Linked DNA regions of Pelodiscus sinensis. The protein of the gene in region 4 purifies or fractionates together with the protein of the main gene of each other region. This does not show direct contact. Links are inferred from orthologs where the notes say so. Each region holds a gene or a part of one and is shown on either strand. Other genes may lie near its edges. The genes, in order: PPP4R1, CCT7, PPFIA3 and PPP2CB.

Region 1 (7,366 bases), on a different chromosome or scaffold from region 4:
TAAATTGCATTTAATCAGCTAATCGAATAGTTGATGGAATTTACATCAACTACTCAATTAATCAATAAGGGGGGAAACTGCTGAGCCACAGCAGGATTAGCTCCCAGTCCCAAAAACTAACCTCACTGCAGCTCTGCCTTTTAAATGTACTAAGAGCCGCCAGCTGATTTCCAGCTCCCCTTCCCTCCCCACCCCCTGCTACCAGTCCCCCACCCTGCCTCTACGACCCCTGCCCCCTTGCAGAGACGGTACCGGGGAGGGGGAGAACCATTTTTTAAGCCAGCTCCTGCTCTCCCTCTCGGCTGCCTTTCTCTGATATAGGCAGCAAGGGGTTGGGGGAGCCACTAGGCAAGTCACTACTCAACTACCCAATAAGCATACCCTTATAGGGCAGTTGACTAGTCACTTATGTCCCTAGTTTCATCCAGTTTCTTGGTTATTCTCTAACACTGATCCATTGATCTCTACATCAGAACCTCCCTCTTGCTCAGTAAGATCTTGAATATTTTTATTAATTGTCTGAATCTTCCTTCAGAATTCTAAGACAGCTCTTGTCTGATCTTTGAGTCTTCTTTTTAAAGTCAAATCTATAATTTTTTATCTATCTTTGAAAGTATCAGAGAAAAGATTTAAAATGTGTGGCGTAGTTAAGTATATAAATATTCTTCTCTAGCTACCTCTTAAGAGACCTACAATGTCTTATTTAATCTTTGTCCTTTGCAATCAAGAAGGTTGCATTTTTTTTAAAGGGAAAAGAAAATAGCTTAAAACATTTATTAACTATTCACAAGAATATCCCACATTGATTGATATTCCTTTTATACTATCCGAAATCTAGTATTTTAAACTTAATAGTTTGTAATAATTGTTAAGCATTACAAGAGAGACTCTCTCTTGAAAAGTAGTTTAAAATGAAAGAAAAGAAACCAGAACAAAATGCTTAAATGTTGTTACACAAATACTCTACAGCGATTGTAAAACTGCAATTCTACATGAAAGATGAAAAAAAAAACAGAAAAATTTCTACTAACATTTCCATTTCTTAAAAGCTTATTTCCAACCATCTAGGAACCCAATCCTGAAAGCTGATTCTTGTGGGCAGACTCCTGTGACAGTATGGACTCTAAGTCCATGGGTCTCTGCAAAGGGCCATGGGTTTGCCAACAAAGGTTACAGGATTAAAGCCTAAATCTGAAGGATTCTTTTATCCCCACCTTGGAGTTAGCTTGGTTTTAATACTCCCAGCTCTACACTTTAACCAGAGAGTTTTCTAATAGTCATGTACATACTATTTTACTGTTGGTTACGTTTTACATTCCATAACTCACATGTGCAAAAGTCACAGCTGTTCTCATAGCCTTCAAGTCACTGCATTTATTGTTGTTTTAAACAAAAAGGAGCATACAATCCATTATTAATGCTAAATTGCACACTGAGGCTTCTTTTATAGAACTATAACACAAGATTAATTCTCTCTCAGATACTATTATCTTTACCAACACTACCATGGAGGAAAAAGATTTAAGAAAGAAATACATGCAAGTCAGCTCATTTTCCATGTCTCTGGTGCAATGTCACCACCACAAGAAAGTAACACTGCCCTTTGTGTATCTCCTAGGCCCTTTAAAGAGCTTCAGTTTCTACACAGCATCAGTCCTGAAAAATTCTATTCCCACAGCTACCGACCATCACATAAAAGTACCCTAAAACTTTATGCATTGAACACAAAAGCCTAAGAAGCTTAAAAATTTAGCCATCCAATTTGTGGCATATCCAACCAGCAGCTGCAGACATAGCATGACAAACAACCACGCGGCCTTAAAACAAGTGCAACACACAACCTGCCTGCAAATATTGTCCTAAGATAACGCGCCTTTGAGTTTAAAGCGCAACAGGCCAAGAAAGCTCAGGCAGCAGCAGCAGCAACTGTCTCTCCCCACAAGTCATCAGCCCAGCTCCCGCTTGTCCCCGTTCCCCCTTTTCGCCGCCTCCACGCAGACGTGGGCACAGGAAAAGTTTGCCGAGCCCCCCCCCCACACACACACACACACACACACGTGTGGGGAAGGAGCAGCTGAGCATGGCCGCCGCCTCCGCCTCCTCCCACAATGCAACGTGGGCTTTCGCCAATTTCCTCACGGGATCGAGCCCAAGAAGACACCACCCCGCAAAAAAAAAAAGCCCCGCCAACCCCAGCCGGCCCGCCCGCGGGCGCGATGCCACCCGCCCCTGCCCACCGAGGCAGACACCCGCCTCCTTCCCCTCTGCTGCACCCCGGCTTCGGACAAGGCCCCGACACGCCCGGAGCTTCCGGCTGCGGCCAGGGTGATGGCACCGCCCCTGGGCTCGCCACCCCTCAGCCCAGCCCCAGTGGGGGGACCGGCGGCGGCGGCGGCAGCGCTACTCACACGCGTCGAGCTCCTCCGACAGGTCCTCCTGCAGCAGCGACAGATCTAGGGAGAGACACAATGAGCCGCGCCCGCAGCCTCGCCGCGCCCCCGGCCCCTTCCCCGCGCAGGGGCGGGGGCCCGCGCGTCGCCCCACAGCCGCCCCCCCCTCCCCACACGCACGGGGGCCGCGCCCGCAGCAGGGCGCGGGCGGAACAGGGGGCGCTGCCCCGGCCCATGCACAGCTGGGGGAGGGGGGCGCGGGAAGGCGGTTGGTACCTACCCGCCATCTTGCCGACGCCGCCCCCCCCCCCCCCCAAGTGTTGAGGGGAAGCCCCGTGCGGTGCGGGCCCGCTGGCGGCGTCTCCGGTGTCCCCGAGAGAGACTGGCAGGCAGGCGGCGAGCGAGGGAGGGGTCTGAGCCGGACACGCCGCTCCCGCCTCCGCCGGGGAGTCGCACGAGAGCGGCCCTCCCCGCCCCTCGCTCGCTGGCGCTGACTCACTTCGCGGAGCCGCCTCCAGGGCAGCGGCCGGGGCCCGCCCGGCCCTACAGGGGGCAGCCGGGGCGCGGTCCCCGTCCCTGCCCGCTTGGCCTGGCTCCGCGCTCCTTCCCCGCCTGGGCCGGGCACTGCGCCCCGTGCCTCCCCTCTTCCCCCTGCATGCTCGGCCTGGCTGTGTGCCCCTTTCTCCTGCACACTTCCCCCCACAGACACGCACGCTGCACCCTGACGTTTCTTCTCTCTCACCCTGCACACTGGGCCCTGGCACTGTCTTTCCCCCTCCGTGCCTGCTGGGCCTTGGCACATCCTAACCCCATGCACTGGGCCCTGGCACTTTACCTCCTTCCCCTCCCCACATGCACCCTGCACTTCCTCACACCCTGAAAACTGGGCCCTTGGTACTGCCCTCTCAGCCCCACATGCTGGGCCCTGGCATTTCCTTCTCCCAACCCCCCTGCTGCAGCCTGGCTCTTCACCTACTTTCTTCAACCTTTACCCTTGGCTTGCAGCTGCACCTCTTTCCCACAACCCCGTGTGCTCTGTGTCCTCTGCTCCAGCCCCAGACATTAGGCCCTGGTGCAGTGCCCCCTCTCCTGAATCCTGCATGAATCCGGCTTTATCACTGCACTCCCCCCTCAACCCCCACCAAAGCACACTTGGCACTGTATTATTTGGCTCTGACATGAATTTCCCCTAAATTGGCACTGCAGTGTCACTCCCTCTCCACATACTTGGCATTGACGTCTTTTCCACTTGCTTGGCATTGTTACTGCCTCTTTCACCTTCCATGTACATTTGGCACTGGTTTTATTTCTCTGTTGTTTGGCTTTGATACCACTGCCCAGTGGCACTGGCACCACTCCTGTCTTACTTGGCACTCTCTGCTTATACAGAAGCCCCCTCCCTATCAATCTAAACATTTTTCTGGACCTTCACTGTGTCTGCCAATGTCATAATGGTAAAAAAAGGATAATCTAAACTAAGCTCCATATTCCCCAAATGAGCTATGGGTAAACAGAATGCACCTTCATCTACACTACGGCTGCGTCTAGATTGGCATGATTTTCCGGAAATGCTTTTAACGGAAAAGTTTTCTATTAAAAGCATTTTCGGAACAGAGCATCTACATTGGCATGGATGTTTTTCCGCAAAAGCAATTTTTGCAGAAAAGCGTCCGTGCCAATCTAGATGCGCTTTTGCGCAAAAAAGCCCCGATCGCCATTTTAGCCATCAGGGCTTTTTTGCGGAAAACAAATCTGAACTGTCTACACTGGCCCTTTTGCGCAAAAGTTTTGCGCAAAAGGGACTTTTGCCTGAACGGGAGCAGCATAGTATTTCCGCAAGAAGCACTGATTTCTTACAGTAGGAAGTCAGTGCTTTTGCGGAAATTCAAGCGGCCAGTCTAAACAGCTGGCAAGTTTTTCCGGAAAAGCGGTGTATTTTCCAGAAAAACTGGCCAGTCTAGACACAGCCTACTTGTGCCTGCCAAGTGTTGTTTGAAATGAGGAAATCAAAAGTGAATGCTCTAAGCAGAGGTTGCACCATTAGTTTTTAGAATACCAAAGGATGCCCTAGAGGCTGACACAAAAATGCCAGAATTGGGCTCTGTGATGTCATTCCACAAAGAAGCATCTTCCAGAAGTGTGTCAGTGCAGCAAAGAGAGGTTTTGCCGAATCATTCATTCATTCTTTAATCAATGATCTATAGTATTTGGTACACTTTGAGATCATCAATGCTCTTACACTTGGGATCATAGTTAAGGCATCCCAATGTCTTCACTAGGAAATAGATATCTTGTCATTGCAGAAGAGAAACCTCCAATTTAAAAATCTTGTGAAACACTCCATAGGAGTGCTATTTATTGCTATTGTTAGTTTTTCATGAAAAAATACATTTTAAAGTTAAACAAAAGCAATAATTCTTCATTAGTCTGTAACCATTGAGTATAAAGTATGGTTCAGTCCACTAGGATGTAAAATCCCATTTAATTGATTAACCGGTTAACTGTAGTGTTAAACACTACAGTTGACCAAGTAAGGGGGGGGGGGGGGCTGGAGCTTTCCCCTCCCAGCTGCAAGCTACCTGCCCTCCTCCACATTATTTTTAGACCAGTTGTCCAAACAAGGGACCTTTGACAAGATCCCACACCAAGGCTCTTATGCAAAGTAAGCAGTCAAGGAACATCTCATGAATCAGTGAGAGCACCACTAACCAGGCCATTGACTGTATGGTTGGTGGCACTGTGCAGCAGGGTTGGCAGGATCCCTACTGGCTTCTGCACCGTGCAGCTCCTGGAGAGCAGCTGGCATGTCCCATCTCCAGCTCTTATGCCTCAGGGCAGCCAAAGGACTCTGCATGCTGTCTCTGCCCCAACCACCGCCCTCGCAGCTCCCATTGGCCAGGAACCATGGCCAATGGGAGCTGTAGGAGTGGCACTTATGGACAGGTCAGCAAACACTGCAGAGCCACTTGGCAGCACCTTCCACATAGGAGCTGGAGGAGGGACATGTCACTGCTTCCAGGAGCTGTTTGAGGTAAGTTCTGCCTGGAGCCTTCACTCCTGATCCCCAGCCCTCTGCCCCAGCCATAGCCCTGATCCCCCTCTCAGTTGCATATCTTAAGTTGAAATATCTTATTTCAGCTTTTGGCGCTGTCTTCACAGCAGGAAATCCGAGGTAGAGCACTATTTCTCGGACTTCTGTTACTCCTTGTACAATAAGGGTTACAGGAGTCAGAGTAAGAAGTCCTCCAGCTCAACATTATTTCGACATTCTATCAAAATAACTGCTTGTAGTGGAGATACAGACTTTGTTATTTTGGAATAGCTTATTCCAAAATAACGCTGCTGTGTAGATATAGTCATATTGATCTGTCTTTACTTGCAAACACCAGAAAATGCAAGCTCTTAGAAATAGCTAAATTTGAGTCTGGTCTCTAACTTGGGCAGCAAGTATCATGGGCAGGGGAAGGTGCAGCCTTCCCAAATTGCCTCACCTGGCATTGCCCTTGTTCCACTGTACTTTCCCAGGCTCCCTTCCCCAGCCTGCTCTTGAGGTGGCAGAGGCTAGGGAAGGCATGCTGGGGGCTGTACCACACCACCTGTCCTTCAAGCACTGGGACTGGTGGCTTGACCGGAGGTAGGGGGCCTTTCTGTAGGAGTCCATTAGGCACTGCCTCTGGAGCTCTGGGGCCTCATTATCCTCGGCTGGGGGTCAGTGGCCCAACTGAAGGTGGGGTACTAGACTTAGGCAAGCAGTGGCCACACTGGGGGTGGGCCTTGTGCAAAAGGAGTGGGGCTGAGGGATTTACCCACTACTCATGGTCTCTGAGAAACTAAATCTCAGGAAATCTATAAAACCCTAAAACAAAGGCTCTGAATGGAAAGACTCAAATGGAAGACTTCTAGTATATTTCACACATGATGAAAATACATATATGGTACCTGCAATTATAATATGGATTAAATACATAAAATCCCAGAACAATAATAAGAGATTAGGTGAATACTGTAAAGTACTCTATCGATCTATTCATAACTACAAAAATTAACAAATCAAATAATATTTAATTAACATCAACTTCAGTGTTTTCCCAAATCAAGATATGTTTTGCTGGGATATGGAATCAATCTATTCAATATTGTGGCAGCTATAAAGCATTAGGCATAGGGAAAACTTGGGGCCCAAATGGCTTCCACATGAAAGGACTACTCGGTAAATTTGCAAGACATCTCTCTTTCACTGTTGAGATGTCGACTCCAACCTCTGATTGACGAGTTAAATGTAACCATTTGTTAAATTTTCAGACAAGCATTTTGGTGCTTTTTCTCATGGTGTCCTTCACCGAAAATGATTACAAAGCTACCTTATTATCCTTCTTCAAAATGTGAAGAGTTAGACAACTAGCGTGCTGAGAGTTCTTTCTATCATTCTGACAAATACTGTTTCGTTGTTTCTTGTACTCCCCCATCTGTTTGTCTCCATCTATTGTCTCTTAGCTTATATTGCAATGTCTTTGGGGCAGAGACAATCATTTAGTTGTACAGCATCTAGCACAAGGAGGTCCTGGTGTATTATTATTATTATTTATTTAAAGTATAGGTGGACTATTGCACCTATTTTGAGCCCCAATGGGATGCTAAATTTAATAGATCATCGGTCTATTTTGGTATGGCAATTCCTATACCCCTATATTGATAACCTACATGGAGATTTTTAGCTGAAAGGTTTATTTTAATGTTGCTGAAGACTGTGTTAAATGTACAAGAGAGGTTTTCAGTGTTGGGAATTTACAGGGATAAAAAATATAACCAGGGCTTCACATGGGCACAGCAGTCTACCCATGCAATGCCAATGCAGGATTGATCCCTGGGAGGGGAGGGAGAGGAGAATTAAAATTCTGTCTCTAACTGCTCATAGTGAGATGGGACCACCATTTTCTATGTGTAGTGATACTCCTTGCTTTATATTATACAGGGAA
Region 2 (7,350 bases), about 130 Mb from region 4:
TCTCGTGGAACCTTGTATCCCACACCTATACTATGCATTATGCAGGGAGGTTGATAAGTCAGCCAAAAGCCACTGCCTTGTGCTTGGTAACACTGAAGCGCTAAAAGGCAGCTCTGGGAAGTCATGTTATCTTATACTTACCTCTGTCATCAACAATAAGTTTGTCCATGCCCCGAGGGCCCAGGGTGGTGCGAACAGCTTCTGCGATAATCTGGCAGGCATTGATGTTACTTACAAGCTGAGGGATCCCTTGGGAGGAATCCGTGCCTTCCTTCAACAAGATAACTGGTGTGGGCTGAAAAGACAAGAGATGCTAGCTAATGCTTCCCTCAGACTTTAATAAGCCAAATAGTCACCCTAAAAATAACTGTGTACCAATATTTTAACCTCCTTAGCTCAGCTTATTAGTATTATTCAATGTCATTTTTCCTGAGGGGAACAATGAAGGAAATCAGTTCACCTTATTAGAGTGTCACTGTTTGCTATTCCATATCTGACGCTGAAGCCAAAGTCTATTAAAGCCTAATGACTTACAAAAAACTTCAACCCAGAAGATCTTACGCTGCAGGGGCCGGAGCCTACAAACTTTATTCTCACAACTAGACTTTGTGAAATAAGGTCTTAGGCATCAAAAGATCCAGCTCTTTGAAGATTTTCTTTTCATTTTAATCTTCACCTTGAGTATCTTGAGTTTCTAACGCTCGCAGTTATACACTCAAAAACCTGTGTTTGTTTTCATTATTTTAACTTTTACATTACTGAGCTGAGCCTTAATTGGGGGCAGCCCGCAGCAGCGCTGGGAAGAGGCCAGCCTGGTAGCCCGCTGCAGCCCAGGATAGCGCCAGGCTGGGATTCCTTGGCAGCCTGAGGCAATGCAAGGCCAAAGCCCCTGGCAGTGCAGGGCAGCATAGTAGCAGATGGGGGGGCTGGAGGCAGGGGGCCTGGTAGCAGAACTAGGAACACTGAGGAGCAGCAGGCTGGGGAGCCAGTGGTAGGGGACCTCCCCTGGTCTGGCAAATTAGGGTGCCGGACAAGGGAAGTCCAACCTCTACCTTCCAACTTCCACACTGGACTGTCTCTGTACTAGATATATAGTATCCATACTACTCCAACAGCTATTAAAAATGCTGCTGCCAAATGCTAAGTTGACAGAGTGGACAGATCAAAGGCATTTCTACCACTGTGTCATGAAAAATCTCTTAACAGCTTTACATGACACTACGGTATGAACAACCGAGACCTGTCTACCCTTACAATGCTGCTGCCAGCAGCACAGCTGTACCCACTGAGGGTGGTACCCAAAATGCAGATAACAAGGTCTGTGGTAAACATGAAAATTAGGAAATAACAAAAACGCACAGGGGTGCATTAATATCCCTACCCCAAGAATACGCGTACTCCTAGTTGAGAGCCGCTGCTCGAGGTGTCCCCAAGCCTCCAACCCACCAGAAAACTTGGAATGGACATGGGTTGGGATTACTCAAAATTGCCCTGTTTCATTCATTCTCCCTGAGGCATCTGCACTGGACACTGCCAGGGAAAAGATACTGGACTAGATGGACCACTGGTGTGATCCTGCATGGTCATTCTTATGCTTGTAAGAGAATGACTTAGGGATTCTAAAAGGCCATGGTAACAGCCAGCCAATGCCTCCTCACAATGTTCTAGGATGATCCCATGCCAGTGAACCTTTATTTGTGCAGAAACCCATTTTCACCTCTCACTGTCTTTGAAAAAATCAGAGCAAGATGGCATTGCTTGAAGGGGAAGCTAGGCCAACACTTAGCACTTCACCGAATGCAAGCATGATCTTTTTACACTGACAGTGAAGTGGGAGGTTGACCCATTGGCAATAAACAGTTTTACGGCAAGATCGCTAGGATTCAAACAATTCCGACATTGCCTTTGGAGACTCATTGGGCAAGAGGGCCAAGGGTGGGGCATGAAAGTTAAATACAGGCCCTCAGACTTCAAGGACATGTTGTGAAACAGAAACAAGGCTCTTTTACCTCTGTCAGAACAAGCCTAAATGGAAGTTTATATAGAAAATCCAAATTATCCTGCCTTTGAAGAAAACCACGTTCTCTGCAACATAAGCATCCTTTTGTAAGCATCCCTGCACATTCTGAGGCCTGCCTTTAGCTTAGCCCGGGGACGTGCCCACCACCGAGATGACAAGTCTGGCAACACTGCATCAGGCAACGCTGCCCCTTTCCTCTGAACAATTTGGGGACAGCAGGTGCCAGAATCAAAACGAGCCATTAGCATCACCCAAACAGAACCGTGGAGACCACAGGGACGGTGGCCCCCAACATGCAATGCTACGTCCTGACCACAGCAGCCTCCGTGGGCAATGCTGGGCCCCTGCGGCTGTTTCGGGGAGAGGCAGGGCGTCCGATCCCAGCACGCAATGGTTTGGGGAGCCCTAAGGGCAGGTTAACGGTTACTATAGTCAGCAGAAGAGGCTTCCTTCACTCCCCCCGCTGCTCTGTCCTACAGGGACTACAACCCCCAGCATGCAATGCGCCACCTGGAACCCCAACTCAGGGGCAAGTTTTCGCGCGTTACTTGATGGGGCTGGTAGTCCCTGCGAGGCCACTGATGTCCCACCGCTAGCCAGGCCGGCCCGAGCTCCCCAGGCCTCCCACCCCGCTCAATGGGCTGCCCTCGGGGCAGGCCGCAGCGCCCCGCGCCCTTCCTGCCGCCGGGCTGCGCTGGGGGCCGCGGCTCCGGCTCCAGCCCGCCCCCCCCAAAAATAACGGCTGATGCCGGCCGGCTAGAGCCCGCTGGGGGCGGGGAGCCGCTGTCGGGCCGGGAGGGCCCGTCCCCGGGGCGGATGGCGGCGGATGGCGCGGGCCGCGCCGGCCCCACTCACCATCATCTTGGCGGAAGGTCCGGTGGAGCGCCTCCAGCACAGGGGGTGGCCGCTCCCACAATGCACTGCGTCCGCGCAGAAACTTCGCGAGGGGCGGGGGCGGAGTTCCAACGGGAAACGGAAGCGAGCGGCTTCTCCCCGCGCCCACTCGATGGTTGGGAGCCCGCCGGCGTCCCTTCCTTCCCGCCTCTGACCATAGAGGTGCGGAGGGGTGGGGTCAGCTCAATATCTGGCAAGAGGAGTACTGACTTGGCTCATTATTTGGCAAGCAGACAGTATAGGGCTCACTGTCTGGCAGGTGGGGGAGCTCAGGTGGGACTCACTCTCTGGCAGGTGGGGGGAGTGCAGGTGGGGGCTCACTATCTGGCAGGTGGGGGAGCTCAGGTGGGGCTCACTGCCAGGTGGGGGTGTGCAGGTGGGGGCTCACTATCTGGCAGGTGGGGGAGCGCAGGTGGGGGCTCACTATCTGGCAGGTGGGGGAGCGCAGGTGGGGCTCACTATCTGCCAGGTGGGGGAGCGCAGGTGGGGGTTCACTGCCAGGTGGGGGGTGTGCAGGTGGGGGCTCACTATCTGGCAGGTGGGGGAGCGCAGGTGGGGGCTCACTATCTGGCAGGTGGGGGTGTGCAGGTGGGGGCTCACTTTCTGGCAGGTGGGGGAGGGTAGGTGGGGGCTCACTCTCTGGCAGGTGGGGGAGCGCAGGTGGGGGCTCACTATCTGGCAGGTGGGGGAGCTCAGGTGGGGCTCACTATCTGGCAGGTGGGGGAGCTCAGGTGGGGCTCACTCTCTGGCAGGTGGGGGAGCGCAGGTGGGGGCTCACTATCTGGCAGGTGGGGGAGCTCAGGTGGGGCTCACTCTCTGGCAGGTGGGGGAGCGCAGGTGGGGGCTCACTATCTGGCAGGTGGGGGAGCTCAGGTGGGGCTCACTATCTGGCAGGTGGGGGGAGTGCAGGTGGGGCTCACTATCTGGCAGGTGGGGGAGCGCAGGTGGGGGCTCACTGCCAGGTGGGGGAGCGCAGGTGGGGGCTCACTGCCAGGTGGGGGAAGGCAGGTGGGGGCTCACAGTCTGGCAGGTGGGGCGTGTAGGTGGGGGCTCACTCTCTGGCAGGTGGGGGAGGGTAGGTGGGGGCTCACTATCTGGCAGGTGGGGGAGCGCAGGTGGGGGCTCACTCTCTGGCAGGTGGGGGAGCGCAGGTGGGGGCTCACTCTCTGGCAGGTGGGGGAGCGCAGGTGGGGGCTCACAGTCTGGCAGGTGGGGGCTCACTATCTGGCAGGTGGGGGAGCGCAGGTGGGGGCTCACTATCTGGCAGGTGGGGGAGCGCAGGTGGGGGCTCACTATCTGGCAGGTAGGGCGTGCAGGTGGGGGCTCGCTGCCAGGTGGGGGAGGGCAGGTGGGGCTCACAGTCTGGCAGGCAGCTGGGTACTGATGGGGGCTCATGAAGGGGAGGTTGGATGAGGAGCAGATAGTTGGGTTCACCAGCTAGTATTGCCAGGTGTCCAGTTTTGCACCCGACAGTCCAGTTTTGGAGCTTTCTGTTCTGGAAACCAATGGAGAAAATAGAACCGTCCGGTATTTTCTAAATCGGATGGAATGTCGATTGGGATGGAATGTCAAGTGCGTCCGGTATTTTTGTTGGACCCATCTGGCAACGCTATCCCCAGGCACTTGGAGCACAGTGGGAGGCAGGGAAACGGGGCAGAGGGTCTGATGGGGGGGAAAGTCCGGGACGAAGTGCCTCGTCCCCCTTGCATTAGAGACACTTGCACAGCATCAAGCCATGTCAGTGGCATGCCCGCAGTATATCAGTGTAGCGTGTAATCAGGAGGGGCTCACACCCGTATAGCAGCACCGGTGCTGTCTAGGATGAGATTGGCAGGGTTTAAAGATGCGCAACAAAATGTCCATACAGCAAAACTAATTGGGGGAGGGGGATTGAGGCCGTGAGGAGGGGCTGGGGCGGCTGCTGTAGCTGTGAAGCTAGTGAGATACTGTGCAGAAATGCCAGTGGTAGGCAGGGCTGAGGGGGAGTAGAGCAGGCTTGAGCAACAGCAAAAGAAGCCATAGCAACCCCCACATTAAAAGCAACCATTGTAAAAACCAAAACCAGCATCCAGGCGCTTATTCCTGTAACCTTTGCCCTCCCTTCCCTCCTCCTTGTTTGTTGCTTTCACTCACTGCATCTACAGGTAGGCCCTAGTCCTGCAGATGCCTGCGCAGCTTTTTGAATGTTGGGAGCAAGGCTACCCCTTTGAAGCAAAACCCCTCCTCCCCATCAGTAAACATTAATGGGTGAAGCTCAGGGTCCCCTCTTGGGCAGATGTATAGAGGGGGAAACTGAGGCACACTGTGCAATGACTTGGCCAAGGTCACACATCTATAGCAGAGCCCAGAATAAAACCCCACCTCCTGCCCCCCAGTCGTGTGTCCCTGCCCTTTCCGTGGAGTACGAGTGGGTGGAAAAGGACGGATTTGCTTCCAGTGATTTTACTTCTGAAAAATCTGCTGAAGGGCTGAACCGGCTCGGATTTATTTTATTTTATTTATTTTTTTCTTCCTCTCTACTAGGAACCCCTCGGTGTTTCAAGCCTCTTGTAACCAGCCGGCACTGGATTGATTGAAACCTTCACCAATGGGATTGGCAGCCGCTGGAGCTGACCAGTGAGTGGAAGCCAGAGGCGGGGCTTTGCTTTGTGGCCACTTTGAGACTTCTGTGGCTAGAGGTGCCTTGGGGAGCCACGGAGAGGCTGGTGCACAGACATGCTCTTCAGCGCTGGCAGCTGGCTGCATTTTGTGCTCTGTCTCTGCGCCTGCCCTTTTGCTGATGGTGAGTACGGGCCACCCGGGGAGAAGGAGAGGCTAGAGAGTACCCCGGTGCCTGCATTGTGTGGGCGCCTTTTCCATTCTGCTTGGCGCACGCTTGCAACACAGGACTGACAAGCAAGCCTTTACAATGCACATCCAGCTGCCTCTTCCAAAGTCAAGTGCCCTGCTGCGGCAGCCGCTGGCCCTTGTGCTCAGAAACTGCTGCCCTGAAATGCAGGGGAGGGGTTAAAAAACCTTGAGCGCTTCTCGGCTGGGGGGGAATTTGTGCTTGCTGTTTATTCTTTGTATTCTCATCATGCTCTGCTCTGTTGGCTGCCGGGAAGCCCTGCCAGACCTGTCTGGTTTTTAGTGTGTCTGTAAGTTCCCATTTTCAGTCGTGAAGGGGTGGCAGTCCGGCTGGGGCCATGTAGCAGGAAAATCTCGCTGCACAGGATCCAGTCTTAATAAATGCCTTGTGCCGGCGCTCTGAAAGCTGTGAGCGAGCCAAAGCAAAATATAATGCAACATCCTCTTGCCCTGGCATAAGATCCCTCCATGGAGGGGGCCCAGCAAGGGAGAATCTTGCATTGCCACTCGGCTTGAGAGACAATTTTGATCGCTGTGGTTGCCCATTAGAACACGGTAAATCAGCCCTGAAACTCGCACAGCGATTAGGAAAGGAAGATGGAGGGAAAGCTGGATTCAGGGGCAGCCAGCAGGTAAATAAGAGGAGCTGAGGCAGGTTAAAAGATGGAGAAAGCAAAGGAGAAAATCCCAGAGGGGAGATTGCTCCGCTGGGTTTGGTAAATGACCTGTGTTCAGTTCGGAGGCGCGTTCCAAAGGGCTGGCCAAGCAGGCAGCCTGGTTTTATGTCACACTCTGGAGGAGTCTCGTGATGGGTCCTAGCTGCTTGCCCAAATTAATGTTCTGGCTGTGGCTGGGGGGTTGCTCGGTTCACTGAGGTTAGCGGAAGTGCTGCTACGAGACGTCAAAATGCTCTCAGCAGGGCAGAGGGTTTGGGCTCCATCTGGAGCAGCGCTGGACACCAGCATCTCCTGTGGGTTCTCAGCACCTCTCCGGATTAGGCCCTTCCTTGTCATTTATCCTACTACTCTCCCTTCCCGCTTCCTCTGCTTAGTGTAGTAATTATTAACTGCCTCGCTAAGGATCCCGGACTTCAGTGTCAGGGAGCCCATGAGAGGCAGGTAAGTAAACAGGCCCCAGACTGTACAGATTGGGAAACTGAGGCATGGAGCGATGAAAGTGACTTGCCCAAGGACGCTCAGCCAGTCAGTGGTGGCCCCAGGAATAGAACCCACATCCCCCGACTGCCCTGCTTTGCCCACTAGACACCCCGCCCCCCACTGACAGGCGTCAAGTGGTGCCTGTAGTAATTTAGAGAGTGAATTGGCCTGCTAGAGTGTCTGCTGTGCTTCACCCGCATTAACTGTGCCTCCTGACTCCCTTGTGCCATGGTCAAGTGGCAGCCCCGTGTGCTACTGGAGGGGAAACTGAGGCAAGGATTGGGTAAGGGGCAATGTGTTTGGAAAGTGACTAGAGATTTTGGGAACCCAGCCTGACACACCTCCAGAGTCCAGGCACCAGCAGCTCCACTGACTTGGTCTGGGGCCTCAAGCACCTCGGTAAATTACTCCCCAGGTGCCTAAAACTGGGCC
Region 3 (7,954 bases), on a different chromosome or scaffold from region 4:
CACAACGCAACACAGCGCCCCAGTGCAACCCCGCCACACACACAACACACCATCCCAGTGCAACCCCGCAACACACACAACGCAACACAGTGCCCCAGTACAACCCCGCAACACACACAACACAACACAGCGCCCCAGTACAACCCCGCCACACACACAACACAACACACCATCCCAGTGCAACCCCGCCACACACACAACACAACACAGCGCCCCAGTGCAACCCCGCCACACATACAACACACCATCCCAGTACAACCCCGCCACACACACAACGCACCACAGCGCCCCAGTGCAACCGGGCAACACACGTTACAACATAAACACCACATTCTACAGGGACAATGTAACAGCCACCCACAGTGCAACCCCGCAACACACACAACAAACACAACACACCACAGCGCCTCAGTGCAACTCTGCGACACACACAACACACCATCCCAGTGCAACCGTGCGACACACGTGCCACAACATACACATAATGCAACATGCTACAGACAATGCAACACCTGCACATAAAGCACTAGTGTGAGAATGCAACACACACAGCAATACGTGCTACTAATACAATGCAATACACAAAATGTATGCCACAGCATGCCATCTACCCATAATGCAACAGTGAGACAACACCACACACATATGCACAGCAACATACACTACCAACACAATGCTACACACAGCCATGATGCAACAACCCACACCTGCAATACAATAACACAACACACACACGCTACAGTTTACAGCACACTGCACTAGCAATACCCGTTGCAACACCCACCCATAATGCAACACGCCCAGTGCTACACACAACACAATGCTGCCGACAACGCAACACCTACCCACAATGCAACAAGTACAAGGTGCAAAGACCCTGCAACACCCAGGCAAAGAGCAATACCCCAACACACACACACACACACACACACACACACACACACACACACACACAGCCCCCTCCTCTTCGCAGGGCCTGTGCCTGCAGACACCTCCCTCGTCTGGGTTATTTATAGACAGCGACGAGACTGGTGCCCCTCACCCCCATGCCCAGACACACTCAGATGGTACCTGTGCACAGACACACGCCAACACACGCCCCAACACGCTGACCCCCTACTCTCCCTTCCCCCATGGCCCCCACCTGGGGACACAGAGCCGGATGCCCCCAGGGGTTCAGCCACACTCCCAGCCCCAGTGGAGGGTGCCCCGGCACACGCGTGTACGGTTACATGCCTGTCCCACGCCTGCCTGGCTCACATGGGGCAGCCAGGGCAAGGGGGCACCGGCGACATCCGTGCATGGCAGGGCCGAAGGGGGCTGCATGGGCAGCGTTACATGCGTGTCTCCATGCCCCCCCCCCCCAGGCTGGACCTTGCAGCCCTGTTTGGCATCCGCTGGGAAGGGATCAGGAGGTTTGTGCCCCCACAAACTTTGGGGTCACCCCCCCCACATACTCCTGCGGAGCTGAGGCCCTCCCTGAGGGTGGATCCGTGGAGGGGGGCAGCTCTGACCCAGAGGAGTGAAGAATCCAAGTGGGGGGGGGCCTCTCCCCACCCCACCCCCAAGGAACACAATGCAGTTGGGGGAAGGGTGGAGGAGCTGTCCAGCCCCCTTGAAGCATCCCCCCCCCCGCAGAATCAGCTGGGATCGTCCCCCCCCCCCCCCACAAGGTCCAGCTGCCTTGCCCCCTCCCTGTAGATTTCTCCTGCAATGGGACAGAGGGTCCCCCAGAGAGCCAGCCCCCCATCCATGGAGGGAGACACAGGGCCCCCGGGGGCAGTATGGGGGGCAGACAGAGGCTGGAGGGGGTCAGAGAAGGCAGCGGGAGGGGGGTGCACACAGGAGGATGGCTGCGTTGGGGGGCAGGGCGCTAGGGAGCGGGGCTGGGGAAAGTGGGGGGGGGCCGGGCAAGGGGGGAGGGCAGGGGCCGGGCAGGGGCTGGGGGCGGGGGCGGGGGACGGCCCGGCTCCTACCTGCAGCGCCGCGAGTCTGATGCTGCGGAGGCCAGTGGGGGAGGGGGGCAGGGAGCTGTCCCGGCTCCTACCGGCAGCAGCCGAGGGGTGCATGGGGGGGGGGGGGAAGCAGGTGCACGTCGGGGGATGGGGGCCGATGTGCGCTGGGGGAGGGGACAGGCCATGGGGGGCGCAGGGCTGAGCTCCGGAGGACGCAGCGGGATGGGGTGCATCTGCAGGCTGGGGGGGGCAGGCATGGGAGATGAGGGGAGCGGTGGAGATGCATGGCCAGGGTGGTTCAAGGGGGGGGTGCGTGGCTGGGAGAGGGGAGAAGGGCCGGGGGTGCAGATCGAGGGGTGTATACAGGGGGGAGAGGCTTGACTTGCACCGTGGGGGGTGCCCGACTGGGGGGATGGGAGGAGATGAAGTGGGGCGGTGGAGGGAGATGGCTGGGCTTGGGGGGGTTCATGCGGGGGAGGGGTGCAGATGCAGGCAGGGGATGGAGGGGGGGTGCAGGGCTGAGGGTGCATTGGGGAGGGGTGCAGATGCAGGCAGGGGATGGAGGAGGAGGGGTGCAGGGCTGGGGGGTGCATTGGGGAGGGGTGCAGATGCAGGCAGGGGATGGGGGGGTGCAGGGCTGAGGGTGCATTGGGGAGGGGTGCAGATGCAGGCAGGGGATGGAGGGGGGTGCAGGGCTGAGGGTGCATTGGGGATGGGTGCAGGGCTGGGGGGTGCATTGGGGAGGGGTGCAGATGCAGGCAGGGGATGGAGGGGGGGGTGCAGGGCTGAGGGTGCATTGGGGAGGGGTGCAGATGCAGGCAGGGGATGGAGGGGGAGGGGTGCAGGACTGGGAGGGTGCATTGGGGGAGGAGGTGGAGATGCAGGGCAGGGATGGAGGGGGGGAGGGCAGGGACGTACCTGCGGCGGCCGGTGCCGATGCTGCGGAGCCGGCGGACGCCCGGGGGTCGCGCCCCTCCCCCGCCCCGCGCTGCCGGAGCCCGGCCGGACGCGGCTCCCGGCCCCTCCGCGCCGCCCCCCGCCCCGCCTCTCCGGCGCCGGCCCCTTTAAGGGAACCCTGAAGGACGGGCCGCCTCGCCAATGGGCGGCCGCCAGAGCCCGGGGCGGCCGCAAAGTCCCTCCCAGGCGCGGGGGTGGGAGGGGGCGGCTCCGAGCGCCGGGGTCCGGCGGCCAATGGCTGAGGGGCTGCCGGGCGGGGGAGCCAATGAGGGAGTCCGGGAGGCGGGGCTCACTTTTAGGATGATGTCATCCGGTGTGCGGCGGGCGGGAGGGGGGCATAGGGGCAAATCACACGCCGGGGAATTGCCCCAACCCCGCCCCCTGGGGAAATGCATCCCCCCCGGGAATTATCCCAGCCCCCCCCTCCAGGAAATGCATCCCCCCGGGAATTATCCCAGCCCCCCCTCCAGGAAATGCATCCCCCCGGGAATTATCCCCCCCCCGAATTGCTCCAGTCCCCTGCTCTGGGAAACCTCCCCCCCCCAGGGAATTGTCCCAGCAAACTTGGGGCAGGCTGCCTAGGGGGTGCAAAGATTGGGGGATGGTTCTAGGGTGGAGGCAGGTAGCACCAGCCTGTCCAACCCACCCGGGGGGGGGGGGGAGGGCTTGCCCCACATTGCACTTCCTGCCCCCGAGCCAGCATCCCTGGAAACACCGCTGTGTGGGTACCAGCCTGGCCCCGCAGGGTCAGGTCCCCGGGGGGTTGGGTTTCTCTCCGCCCCACGGTGGGGGACCAGGGAGGGAGGGCCCCCCAGCTCCATGCCCTCTCCTTGCTAACTCCATGAACCCCAGAAACCTCCCCCTGCCTAGGACCACCTGGCTGTGGCCCTCACCCCCCCAGCCCTGAGTTGGCTCCTGTGTGGCCCAGGGCAGGGCTGTCAGCCCACCGGAGGCAGCTCCCCCAGGGTCCGGGGAGCAAGCTAGGGAACAACCTCCTGGTCTGGGAAAAACGGCCACCTCATTAGCTACCTGATTCTACACTGGGGCCGAGGATGGCGTTAGCCCTGCCGCAGGCAGACGGACAGAGCCTGGAGCAAACATCCCTTCCCCACACAGCGGGAGCGGCTGCCCCACAGCCAGAGCCAGAAGTGAAATCACCTCTCCACTCGCCCCAGCGAGTCCCCCTTTGCCCCCTGGGGGTCATGCTCCGCGAGCAGGGACTGCGGCCACCCCGGGATCGAGGCACAAAGGACACAGACATGCACACCCCAGACTCAGTCGCATCGTTTTATTCACAGTCAGGCAGCCCCCCCTTCTTCCAGCAGAGGCGGGAGCCGCAGCAAAGGGCACGAACGTTTGTGACTGGAAGAGGGACAGACAGCAGGGACTGAGAGCGGGAGGCACCCGTTGGCTCCCCTTCCCTCCCAGAGCCAAGAGAGAACCCAGGAGTCCTGGCTCCCAGCACCCCCCTGCTCTAACCACTAGCCTCCACTCCCCTCCCAGAGCCAAGAGAGAACCCAGGAGTCCTGGCTCCCAGCACCCCCCCCTGCTCTAACCACTAGCCTCCACTCCCCTCCCAGAGCCAAGAGAGAACCCAGGAGTCCTGGCTCTCAGCACCCCCCCTGCTCTAACCACTAGCCTCCACTCCCCTCCCAGAGCCAAGAGAGAACCCAGGAGTCCTGGCTCTCAGCACCCCCCCCTGCTCTAACCACTAGCCTCCACTCCCCTCCCAGAGCCAAGAGAGAACCCAGGAGTCCTGGCTCCCAGCCGCACCCTCTGACTCCCTCCCTGGGAATCTCACCCTTGTAGTTCCCTGGCAGACTCAGCAGCCAAACCAGAAAAACAGACTTGAGGGGGGTGACTCACTGAGGGAGGGGCGCATCCCTGATTCCCAAGCTCCATTTCCCACCCCCAGCTCACCTGGGGAGCAGGCAGGGAGCTCAGCCCCACCTGCCCTGGAAGGGGCAGGAGAAGGGAGCTATGGGGGATGTCAGGGACCAGAAATGATGCTGCAGGTTGGGAGTGAGGGGCACCAGCAGGGCTGGGGGGACAGAGCTTGGGGGGGGCAGGGGCTTCTGGCAGGAGTGAGGGGCACCAGCAGAGCTGGAGGCAGGAGCTAGGGGCACCGGCAGGGGTGGGGGGCCGGGGCCGAGCTGCTGGCCGGAGAGAGGGGCACTAACACCCTACACAGGACATACCCCAGTGATCCCCCACCCCCCCAAGCAGCGAGTTCGCCACCTGGTGGCCACTCACTGAACTGCACCATAAACACATACTGGATCAGGGCCCTTCTGGGGTGGGGTGCAGGGACAGGGCAGACGCGGACCCCTCGCCCAGCACCGGGACACGGCCCCTCTGGGCTGGGCACACGGGGACCCCTCGCTTGGCACTGGGATGGGTCGAGGGGCAAAGACACACAAGAATTTGGGACAGGAAGTGAAGGCGAATCCCGTACAGTGGGTGGTTTGGGGGCAGTGCATTTCTCCGGGATTCCCCCCCCTTCCCTGCCTTCAGCAGAGCCCTCCCCCCCCCCCCGACCACCAGAGTCTCGGGTGCCGGATTCCCACCGGCTCACGCACAAGGGGCAGTTTTAAATAGGGGAATAAATAAATACGGTTCACGGCAGGGCCGGTGTGGTCCCGATAAATAGACCCAGCTCCACAGAAAAACTGGGGGGAGATGTGGGAGGCCGGGCGGGGGCCCAGCCTCCCCAGCACGGGACCTGACAGGGGTTATCCCCGCGACTCCAGAGACCTGGGGAGAGAACAGAGGGAGACATGAGTCGCAGCAGAAACCGGGGGGAGCAGCGAGATTTTGGGGTGCTGGTACCGGGAGATTTGGGAGGCCCTTAGGTGTAGCAGGGTGCTGGCGCCAGTGGCGGGGAATGTGGGGGGGGGCTCTTACGAGTAGCTGTGGTGCTGCTGGCGCCAGTGGGGGGGTTGGGGAGGATGTGAGGAGGAATCGGGGCGGTTGGGGAGCTTGGGGGGAAGCTTCCCTCACAAATAGCTGCGGTGCCACTGGTGATGTAGGGGGATTTGGAGGGTTTGGGGGGCTCTTATGAGTAGCTGTGGGTACTGCTGGCCCCTGCAGGGGGTGAGGGGGGGCTCGGGGGGCCCTTACGAGTAGCTATGGTGCTGCTGGCGCCGGCGGGCCGTGCGCATCTTCTCGAAGCGGGCCTCCATCTCCTCCAGCACCTTGGGCGTGTAGCGCACGACCAGCTTCACGGTGCCCTGCGCCGCCTTCAGCAGCTCCACCGCCTTCTCGTGCTGCTCCCCCTCCACGCTCTGCACCGCCGGACAGACGGACACGTGGCAGGGTCAGAGGGGACGGACGCTCCCGCCGCGGATGCCCTCCCCCGCTCGCTGCCTCAGTTTCCCTGCGCCCTCAGTCCAGCCGCCCCCGAGCTCCCCCGCTCACCACGCCGTTGACAGACAGCAGCTGGTCGCCCCGCTTGAGGCCTCCGTGCCGGTCGGCCACGCCGCCAGGGATGACGCGGGAGATGTAGATGGGTGAGTTCTGTTCCTTGCCGCCCATGATGTTGAACCCGAGCCCCTCGTCCGTCTTGGGCAGCTCCACCACCCGGGGGTGGGCGTGGCCCTCGCTTGCCGCGAACGCCGCCACCGTGGCCTGCGGGCAGAGACCCAGGGTGCTGGGGGGGGGGGGCAGGCGGAGGGACCCTACGCCCCGCACCTCTGCCCCAGTCCCTAAGGTTAGGCCCAGGCCTCAGGGGCAGCTCGGATCCCTGGGGGGCAGGACCTAGGCCCAGATCCCAGGAGCCAGAGGGTCTCCGGTGGGGAGGGAGTCGGGATTCCCAGGGGGTTACTTAGGTTCCGATTTCACAGGGTCCCAAAACCCAGGAGGCAGGATTCCTGGGGGGAGGGGGTTACCTCGGCCCACATCTTGGGGTGTCCAGGACAATACCTTGGGCCAGATATCGGGGGCAGAGGGTCCCCAGGGCACACCTAGGCCCAGATCTCAGGGGGCAGAAGTACCTTGGCCGTGGCATGGGCCCGGATCTCGGCGCTGCCCGCGATCTCCAGCGTGTCATAGAGCTGCTCATAAACCTGGTGGTGGAGACGAGGAGGAGGGGCTGTCAGGGCGAGGGCTGGGGATCCCAGAAGTCCGGACAGTGACCATCGAATGCCAGGGGAAGGGAGATGGGGGGGGGGGCTGGGCCAGGGCACGGGGGCTGCAGTGGACTCAGTGTGGAGACGGGGTTCCCCTAGGGGGCCAAGCAGGAGACGAAGCCCCTGGGGGTGCAAAATGGGGTGTGGTGAGGGGATTCCCGGGGTACAGGTCGCGTGTGGGGGTGGAACCCCCTGGAGGTGAAGGGAGAGGGGGCCGGGCAGGAGCCTCTGCAGGGACACGGTGCTGGGGACAGAGTAGGGGTTCAGGCAGCTGCAGCGACTGTGCCGGGGGGGGGGGGGGGGGGGAGACGCAGCATGGGGTTGGGGTGCAGGGGGGCTGAGGCAGGTGCAGGGAATGCACAATGCACAGGTGGGATGCACAGGGGAATGGGGGGGCTGCCAGGGCACTTGGGGGGGGCTGCACAGGGCAATGGGGGGGCTGCACAGGGCAATGGGGGGGTCTCACCTCGCGGATGGCCAAGCAGAACTTGCTCTGCAGAACTCGCTGCAGGGTCTGCAGCTTGTGGGGGGGCAGCTCCCCGCTTCGCTGCAACCGCTCCAGCAGCTCCACCGCACGCGCCACGTCTGCACGGTTTGGGGGGGGCGTCACAGGGGGGCAGAGACCCCCCCCAAAACTAACTGCCTGCCCCCCCGCGTCTCCCTGAGCCCCCCCAGCCACTGCTGCCCCAGCACCCCCCGCACCTGCCCCAGGCATCTCCGAGCCCCCGCCTGCCCTAGCGCCCTCCCCCCCGGCGCACGGGTCCTGCCCCCCCCGCCCCGTGCACCTGCCCGCGGCCCCTTACCCCGCTCCAGCCCCAGCGGCTCGCTGCTCAGCGCTGCCATCTTCACGCACCGGCCCCGCCCCACGTTGCACCGGCGAGGGGGGGGGGAAGAGTCTCGGACTCACACCCGGCG
Region 4 (6,882 bases):
GAGGAATAGTGGCCCCAAATCATCTCACCTTCATTCTTCTCTGCTCACAATAGTAGTAACTCCTGAAGAAACACTGGACTGGGGGGAGTGGTTCTGGCTCGAAGGCTTTCATCCACTAAAGACTGCAAAAAAAAAACGTGAGAAAAGCCTTTACTTTCAATTGATTTAGCTTCCTGTTAGGTATTAAATTTGCATTTTGCCTTTTATTTTCTTTGTTACCAATTCTGACTTTTGTGCCTCATTATTTGCAAACACTTAAATTTTTTCTGTAGCTAATAAACTTGATTTATGGAAATGATTGTGTTTGTATTAAAGTGTTTGGGAGTCCCATTTGGGATAACCACATTTGTGCATGATGACTTTCTATTGTTGAAATGATGTACTTTCTATGAACTTGCATTGCACAACAGGAAAGACTAAGATGCACATTTCTGGGGACTCGACTGGGAATTTGCTGGTGTTGCCCTATAATGGAATTCATGAACGAATAGCTGAAACACTCATAACATTCAGCTGGGAAAGATTTTGCATGCTAGAGGCTGTGTGAGAACAGAAACAAAAGTTTCCTTTTTCGACCCTCCACCCTCCAAGTAGATTTTTCAAAAAGCAAATGTTACAGCACCCCAGGCACAAGATCAGTGGCCAGCATCCCAGGAGGAGAATTCTGAGCCTATGAGTAGGGCCATGGAGCTTCAGGTGTACGGCCAGCAGCCAGGGCCCCATGTAAAACTTGGGGATGCTGCAGCACTCCCCACCTCTAGTTCTGTGTGTATGATAGCCAGGTGGGGACCTGGAAGTAGCTCGGGGCAGTGCTGAGGTGTGTGTGGAAATGGAATTACAGCCAGTCACAGGACTTGGAGTGATTCTGGGGTGGGACTGGGGTGTCTGGGAGTGGCTATAGGGGGCGTGAGTAGGACTCAGTGTGACACTGAAGTTGGAGTGTCTGGAAATGACTGGGATGGTGCAAGAGGCTCTGTGTGGTGCCATGGGATGCGTGTGTCTGGAAGTGATGTTGCTGGGCAGGAGGCATTACAAGTGGCACTGAGTTGGTGTGGGTAGGGTAACCCTGTGTCACCTATTAGCAAATGCCCAGTTTTGACAAAAAAAAGTGGAGTGCAACTGCTAGCGGGGTGCACAGGGAGGGAAGGCAAATGGCAATGCCAGCCCTGAGCTGGAGGGAGGCTCAGGCTGTGCCAGACCCACACATGGAAGACAGGGGAGGGGGGGATAACGTGTGTAGAGCAGTTGTGGGGAGCCTCAAGCTGCCCTGTGGGGTATCCCATTTTCCCTGTAGGGAAATAGGGTGATCCCTGGTACTCTGGAAGGGGTGAATGGGGCTCTAAGTGGTTCTGAATAGGAGGTCTGGGAGTTTCTCTAGGGCAGTGCAGGAGGGAGGTTGGACATGGCTCTGAGAAGTGTGAGGGGGGCTCGGAATGTAGGGTCTGAGCTAGGGATGTCAGCGGTTAAGCAGTAAGCATCATCTGCTTTTGCGGAAAAACTTGCCAGCTATCTACACTGGCCACTTGAATTTCCGCAAGAACACTGACAATCTCATGTAAGATCGTCAGTGTTCTTGCGGAAATACTGTGCAGCTCCCGTTCGGGCAAAAGCCCTCTTGCGCAAATCTTTTGCGCAAGAGGGCCAGTGTAAACAGCGCAGTACTGTTTTCCGCAAAAAAGCCCCGATCATGAAAATGGTGATCAGGGCTTTTTTGCGGAAAAGCACGTGGGCTGTGTCTACATTGGCACCCCTTTCCAGAAAAGGGATGGTAATGTAGACTTCAGAATTGCAAATTCCGCGGGGGATTTAAATATCCCGCTGGGGATTTAAATATCCCCCGCAGTATTTGCATTTACATGGCTGCCGCTTTTTTCCGACTTGGGGATAAGCCGGAGAAAAGCGCCAGTCTAGACCTGATTCTCCGGAAAATAAGCCCTTTTCCGGAGGATCTCTTATTCCTACTTTCAAGTATTTAAATCCCCCGCGGAATTTGCAATTCCGAAGTCTACATTAGCATCCCTTTTCCGGAAAGGGGTGCCAATGTAGACACAGCCGTCTAGATTGGCCACGGACGCTTTTCTGCAAAAAGTGCTTTTGCGGAAAAGCGTCCTGCCAATCTAGACGCGCTTTTCCAAAAATGCTTTTAACGGAAAACTTTTCCGTTAAAAGCATTTCCAGAAAATCATGCCAGTTGTAGACATAGCCAATATTTAATCGGTTAACTGATTAAATGGGATTTTACATCCTTAGTCTGAGCAATACTGGGGAGTCTGGACTTGCCTCTGCGAGGTGTGAGGGGCCTGAGAGACGCTGGGGGGCTGAGCGGGGCTGAAGGGTCTGAGCGGTGGGGACAGGGAGTGGCTCTGTGAGGTGCAAGGAGGGTCCGAGCGGTGCTGTGGGGAGTGTCTGGGCATGGGGCAATAGGGGATCTGGGTGTGGCTCTAGGGCTGAATCTAGACTGGCCGCTTTTTCCAGAAAAGCAGCCAAGTATTTTACTACATCCAAACAATGTGGGGGGGAGAGCCTCTGTGGCAGGGGGGAAGAGCAGGGCTGGGAGTTTTGGGCAGGCTGGTTGTGGGGAGTGGGGCAGGGGGGCTGGCAATGGGTGTGGGGGGTGAGCAGGGTGGGTCTCTGTGGCGGGAGGGTGAGCAGGGCGGGGGGGCTCTGGGCAGGCTGGTCGTGGGTGAGTGGGACAGGGGGGCTGGCAGTGGGTGTGGAGGGGAGAGGGGAGGGTCTGTTGGCGGGGGGGTGGCAGTGGGTGTGGGGGGGGTCTGTGTGGCAAGGGGGGGTGAGCAGGGCAGGGGAGTGGGTCTGTGTGTAGCGAGGGGATGAGCAGGGCGGGGGGTGGCAGTGGGTGTGAGGAGCGGGGGGGGGTCTGTGTGGCGGGGGGGTCTGGGCAGGCTGGTTGTGGGTGAGTGGGACGGGGGCTGGCAGTGGGTGTGGGGGAGAGAGGGGGGGTCTGTTGGCAGGGGGTGAGCAGGGCGGGGGGGTGGCAGTGGGTGTGGGGAGGAGCGGGGGGGTCTGTGTGGCGGGGGGTCTGTCTGTAGCGGGGGGGTGGTAGTGGGTGTGGGGGGGAGCGGGGTGGGTCTCTGGAGCGGGGGGTGGTAGTGGGTGTGGGGGGGAGCGGGGTGGGTCTGTGTGGCGGGAGGGTGGCAGTGGGTGTGGGGGGGTGGCAGTGGGTGTGGGGGGGGAGCGGGGTGGGTCTGTGTGGCGGGGGGGGTGGCAGTGGGTGTGGGGGGGAGCGGGGTGGGTCTGTGTGGCGGGGGGGTGGCAGTGGGTGCGGGGGGGAGCGGGGTGGGTCTCTGTGGCGGGGGGGTGGCAGTGGGTGCGGGGGGGTGGCAGTGGGTGCGGGGGGGGAGCGGGGTGGGTCTCTGTGGCGGGGGGTGGCAGTGGGTGCGGGGGGGGAGCGGGGTGGGTCTCTGTGGCGGGGGGTGGCAGGGTGTGGGGAGGGGTCTGTGTGAGGGGGAGGGGGGTGAGCGGGGGGGGGGTCTGACCGTGGCGCGCGGAGGCTGGGAGCAGGGTGGGTCTCTGTGGCAGGGTGTGGGGAGGGGTCTGTGTGACGGGGGGAGGGGTGAGCGGGGGGGGGTCTGACCGTGGCGCGCGGAGGCTGGGAGCAGGGTGGGTCTCTGTGGCGGGGGGTGGGGAGGGGTCTGTGTGACGGGGGGAGGGGTGAGCGGGGGGGGTCTGACCGTGGCGCGCGGAGGCTGGGAGCAGGGTGGGTCTCTGTGGCGGGGGGTGGGGAGGGGTCTGTGTGACGGGGGGAGGGGTGAGCGGGGGGGGTCTGACCGTGGCGCGCGGAGGCTGAGAGCGGGTGCGGGGGGGGGGGAGGAGGCGGAAGCGCTCCCGCGGGGCGGCGGCCGCGGCCGGAAGTGGCGGGGCGAGCGGGCGGGGCCGCCATCGCCATTCCGCGGCGCGGGGCAGGGCCGGGCCGGGAGCGGAGCGGGCCGCGCGCACCCAGCAGCCCCCGTTGGCCCGTGGCCGTTGGCGGCCCCCTCGCGCCATGGAGGAGAAGGGCTTCTCCAAGGAGCTGGACCAGTGGATCGAGCAGCTCAACGAGTGCAAGCAGCTGAGCGAGAGCCAGGTGCGCAGCCTCTGCGAGAAGGTGAGTCCGCGCCGGGCCTAGCGGGGCCTCACCCGCCCGCGCCAGGGGCCCCGTGCCCGCGCCGCCCCGCAGGACAGCGGGCCCAGCAGCGCGCGGGGCTGCTGCAGAGGAGATAGATCCGTGCTGGCTCCTTTCGCCGCCGGGCAGAGTGAAGGGCAGGGGAGGCCCTGACTTGCCTTCCCTGTACGCTGAGCGCTTGGGCGCTCCCCTGCCCCAGAGAGGCAAGAGCTGCCTGCCCCAGCTGACCAGCGGAGCCCCCACAGCCAGCAGTGTGTTTCTCGTGGTGGTGCACATCCGCACAGCACAAAAATGGTTTCTCACAGGGCTTGGGGGAAAAATAGAAGCAGGGGGAGAGCCCAGTCTCTGAATCCCAGCGTCCCTGTGTTTGTGTTTCATTGCATAGGAGGGCCAAGGCAGCAGTGTTACACGAAACCCGTTAGGCACCGACATCTGGGCAAGCAGGCGGCCCACGGAAAAGGAAAGCTAGTTGGGCTCAATAATTTACCCCATTCCAATCAGATGTCCAATCTCCCTTCTGTTATTGAGTTGTGATAGCCAGTAGTAGTATTGCATGTCAACTAGCTAAAGGATGGGTTGTGGTTTGGTTGGTTGAGTTACCTCTTGCATCACTGTAGCCCTGTTTAAGATTGATCTGGCATGTTGCCTGGATAAATAGCCTACATAATCATAGCAAATAGGTAACATTGTTAACAATTAGCTTAATTAAATTCAACTGCTTCTAAAATAGAACAGATTCATGCAGGATAGGGCCATCAGTGGCTGTTAGCCAAGCTGGGCAGAGATGGTGTCCCAAACTCATTTGACAGAAGATCGGCATAGGCAACAGGATTGATCACTTGATAATTGCCTATTCCGTTCATTCCCTCTGTGGCATTAGCCACTGTTAGAAGACAGAATACTGGGCTAGATGGAGGTTTAGTCTGACCCAGTATGGCTGTTTTTGTATTCTTTTAGCCTGTGAACACTTTACTTTTTTATACAGAGCATTTGCAGTCTCTTACTGCATTATTTTGATTACTCAAAGATTGACCAGTGGTAAATGTCTTAAAAGGACTCAGTTTTACTTAATTTGAATTTAAACTTAGAAATTTTCTGAAAATCCATTCTGTACACATAATGCTGTAAATTTGGAGATACTGCACTGTATTTTTCATACATAAAGACATCCCTGCAAAGAAAAATGTGATGTAAGGCTAAAGGAAGAATTTGTTATAAGTATTTTGTTATAAGTACATAATTTATAAAAAGATACTTAGCGTTTAGAAGCACTTCATGCTATTTCTGTATCTCCAGTTAATGGTGTTGATCTATTTCAGTCTTTTCCACCCAGTATGTAAAGTTTTGGCAGCTAAATTACAGTGAGCCTTGTCTTTAAATAATTTAAATTATGTTGTTTCTTAGTTTAGCCACAGTCAAATTTAAAATTATATAGACTATTAAATTACTTGTAGCCGATTAAAGCACATCAGACCCTCAGCAGGAATTGGAAACCAACCATGGCTGGTAACAGCTCATTTACACCCTTTCATCTTATATATATTATTGTGGTTGTTTTCTTATGTGCATTACTTTGCATTTATCAATACTGAATTTCATCTGCTATTTTATTGCCCAATAACCCAGTTCTGTGAGATCCCCTTACCCAAGGCAGTAAGTGGAAACTCAGTGGTATCTGTTCTGCCCCTTGCGCTCCTTGATTTCAGAAAGCAAATTAAAATTTTCCTCTAGTTCTTAACCCAGTTTCTTAGTAAGTTTAGATAAGTTAATATTTTAGCATATCTGCCCAGCTGTGGCATTCTTTTTTTTCCTTTTTAGGTCATTACTAACCAATCAGTGCCAAGGTACCTTTCACTCAAGAGATATCAAAAGCCTCAGGCTTCAAACCCTGCTAACGTGATGGTGTAGTGCCAGACAAATCTGATGTGTGTTCTGTCTGGGGGGAAATCCACTTCCCCAGTTGTTGTTCAGTGTATTGGTTCTCTTCAGATTGGACAGCTTTGGCTGCAGTCTCTGAGACGTGTTAGAACCTTGAGCTGGTGTCTGTAGCGTCGATATTAGCATAGGAATCAGCATTGATGTTGGTAGCAGAAGAGCATGTTCTAATCTAGTGACATCCAGGTTGGAGTCCCTTGATGCTGTAGCATTGTGTCAGTATTAGCCAGATAACCTGGCACTCTTTTTGATCCAATATACTTCTCTTCCTTCTCCTGCTTTCTCAGAGCCAAAGTTGTGTGGCGAACCCATACCCTCTCAACCTTCTCTAGACAAATTCAGTATTGTGTCTGTGGTGATGGGGATTGGATCCACATTGGGGATCCCCCACTAAAATAAAATAAAAGCTCTAAAAATAAATGAGTAACTCAGAAACACACAATCTCCTTTCCACCCCAACTCCTCTTCCTGGGTCTCCACACTTCCTTAGCTGTATGTTTCTGAAATATATTGATTGTACTGGAGAATGTGGATTCTCCCTTCCCAGCCTTCCAGAGACAACTCCCCTCATAGGTTTGTTTTCCAGTCAAGTCAAAACAGGCTAGAGGTCTTGAAATGCAGAAGATGGAGGAAAATGTTGAGGTTCCCCACGATGACTGCATTGATAATCCAGAACTGCAACTGGTCTACTTGCTCCTCGCCTTACCAGACGAACCAGATACTACAATCCAGTGTCCCTGTGCGATTACTTCAGAGCATTCATCTAAGACTTGCTAAGGAGAACAGCTAACATATTAAATATAGAACTGTCATTGGCACAGAAGGCA

What was found.
Region 1: the proteins of PPP2CB (region 4) and PPP4R1 purify together in Homo sapiens (affinity purification with mass spectrometry; 3 studies listed by BioGRID and IntAct, counting the BioPlex papers as one, with this or other methods). This does not show direct contact. The link is inferred for Pelodiscus sinensis from reciprocal best matches to the Homo sapiens genes PPP2CB and PPP4R1.
Region 2: the proteins of PPP2CB (region 4) and CCT7 purify together in Homo sapiens (affinity purification with mass spectrometry; 4 studies listed by BioGRID and IntAct, with this or other methods). This does not show direct contact. The link is inferred for Pelodiscus sinensis from reciprocal best matches to the Homo sapiens genes PPP2CB and CCT7.
Region 3: the proteins of PPP2CB (region 4) and PPFIA3 purify together in Homo sapiens (affinity purification with mass spectrometry; 3 studies listed by BioGRID and IntAct, with this or other methods). This does not show direct contact. The link is inferred for Pelodiscus sinensis from reciprocal best matches to the Homo sapiens genes PPP2CB and PPFIA3.

The regions. Positions count from the first base shown.
Region 1 is NC_134712.1:85,386,007-85,393,372, forward strand, and holds the start of PPP4R1 (serine/threonine-protein phosphatase 4 regulatory subunit 1), read right to left. Parts: upstream 3,010-7,366; 5' UTR 2,678-3,009; coding exon 2,671-2,677; intron 2,454-2,670; coding exon 2,409-2,453; intron 2,098-2,408; exon of another isoform or gene 2,083-2,097; coding exon of another isoform or gene 2,058-2,082; intron 1,895-2,057; exon of another isoform or gene 1,874-1,894; intron 1,866-1,873; exon of another isoform or gene 1,846-1,865; intron 1-1,845. UniProt on the Homo sapiens protein: Regulatory subunit of serine/threonine-protein phosphatase 4. May play a role in regulation of cell division in renal glomeruli. The PPP4C-PPP4R1 PP4 complex may play a role in dephosphorylation and regulation of HDAC3.
Region 2 is NC_134715.1:131,026,804-131,034,153, forward strand, and holds the start of CCT7 (T-complex protein 1 subunit eta), read right to left. Parts: upstream 3,014-7,350; 5' UTR 2,882-3,013; coding exon 2,876-2,881; intron 296-2,875; coding exon 142-295; intron 1-141. Other genes in the region: PRADC1 (protease-associated domain-containing protein 1), read left to right, coding at 5,630-5,696. UniProt on the Homo sapiens protein: Component of the chaperonin-containing T-complex (TRiC), a molecular chaperone complex that assists the folding of actin, tubulin and other proteins upon ATP hydrolysis.
Region 3 is NW_027465870.1:75,048-83,001, reverse strand, and holds the start of PPFIA3 (liprin-alpha-3), read right to left. Parts: upstream 3,013-7,954; 5' UTR 2,874-3,012; intron 1-2,873. Other genes in the region: LIN7B (protein lin-7 homolog B), read right to left, coding at 5,645-5,666, 6,033-6,196, 6,330-6,539, 6,905-6,976, 7,506-7,754. UniProt on the Homo sapiens protein: May regulate the disassembly of focal adhesions. May localize receptor-like tyrosine phosphatases type 2A at specific sites on the plasma membrane, possibly regulating their interaction with the extracellular environment and their association with substrates.
Region 4 is NC_134715.1:4,850,019-4,856,900, reverse strand, and holds the start of PPP2CB (serine/threonine-protein phosphatase 2A catalytic subunit beta isoform), read left to right. Parts: upstream 1-3,870; 5' UTR 3,871-4,000; coding exon 4,001-4,102; intron 4,103-6,882.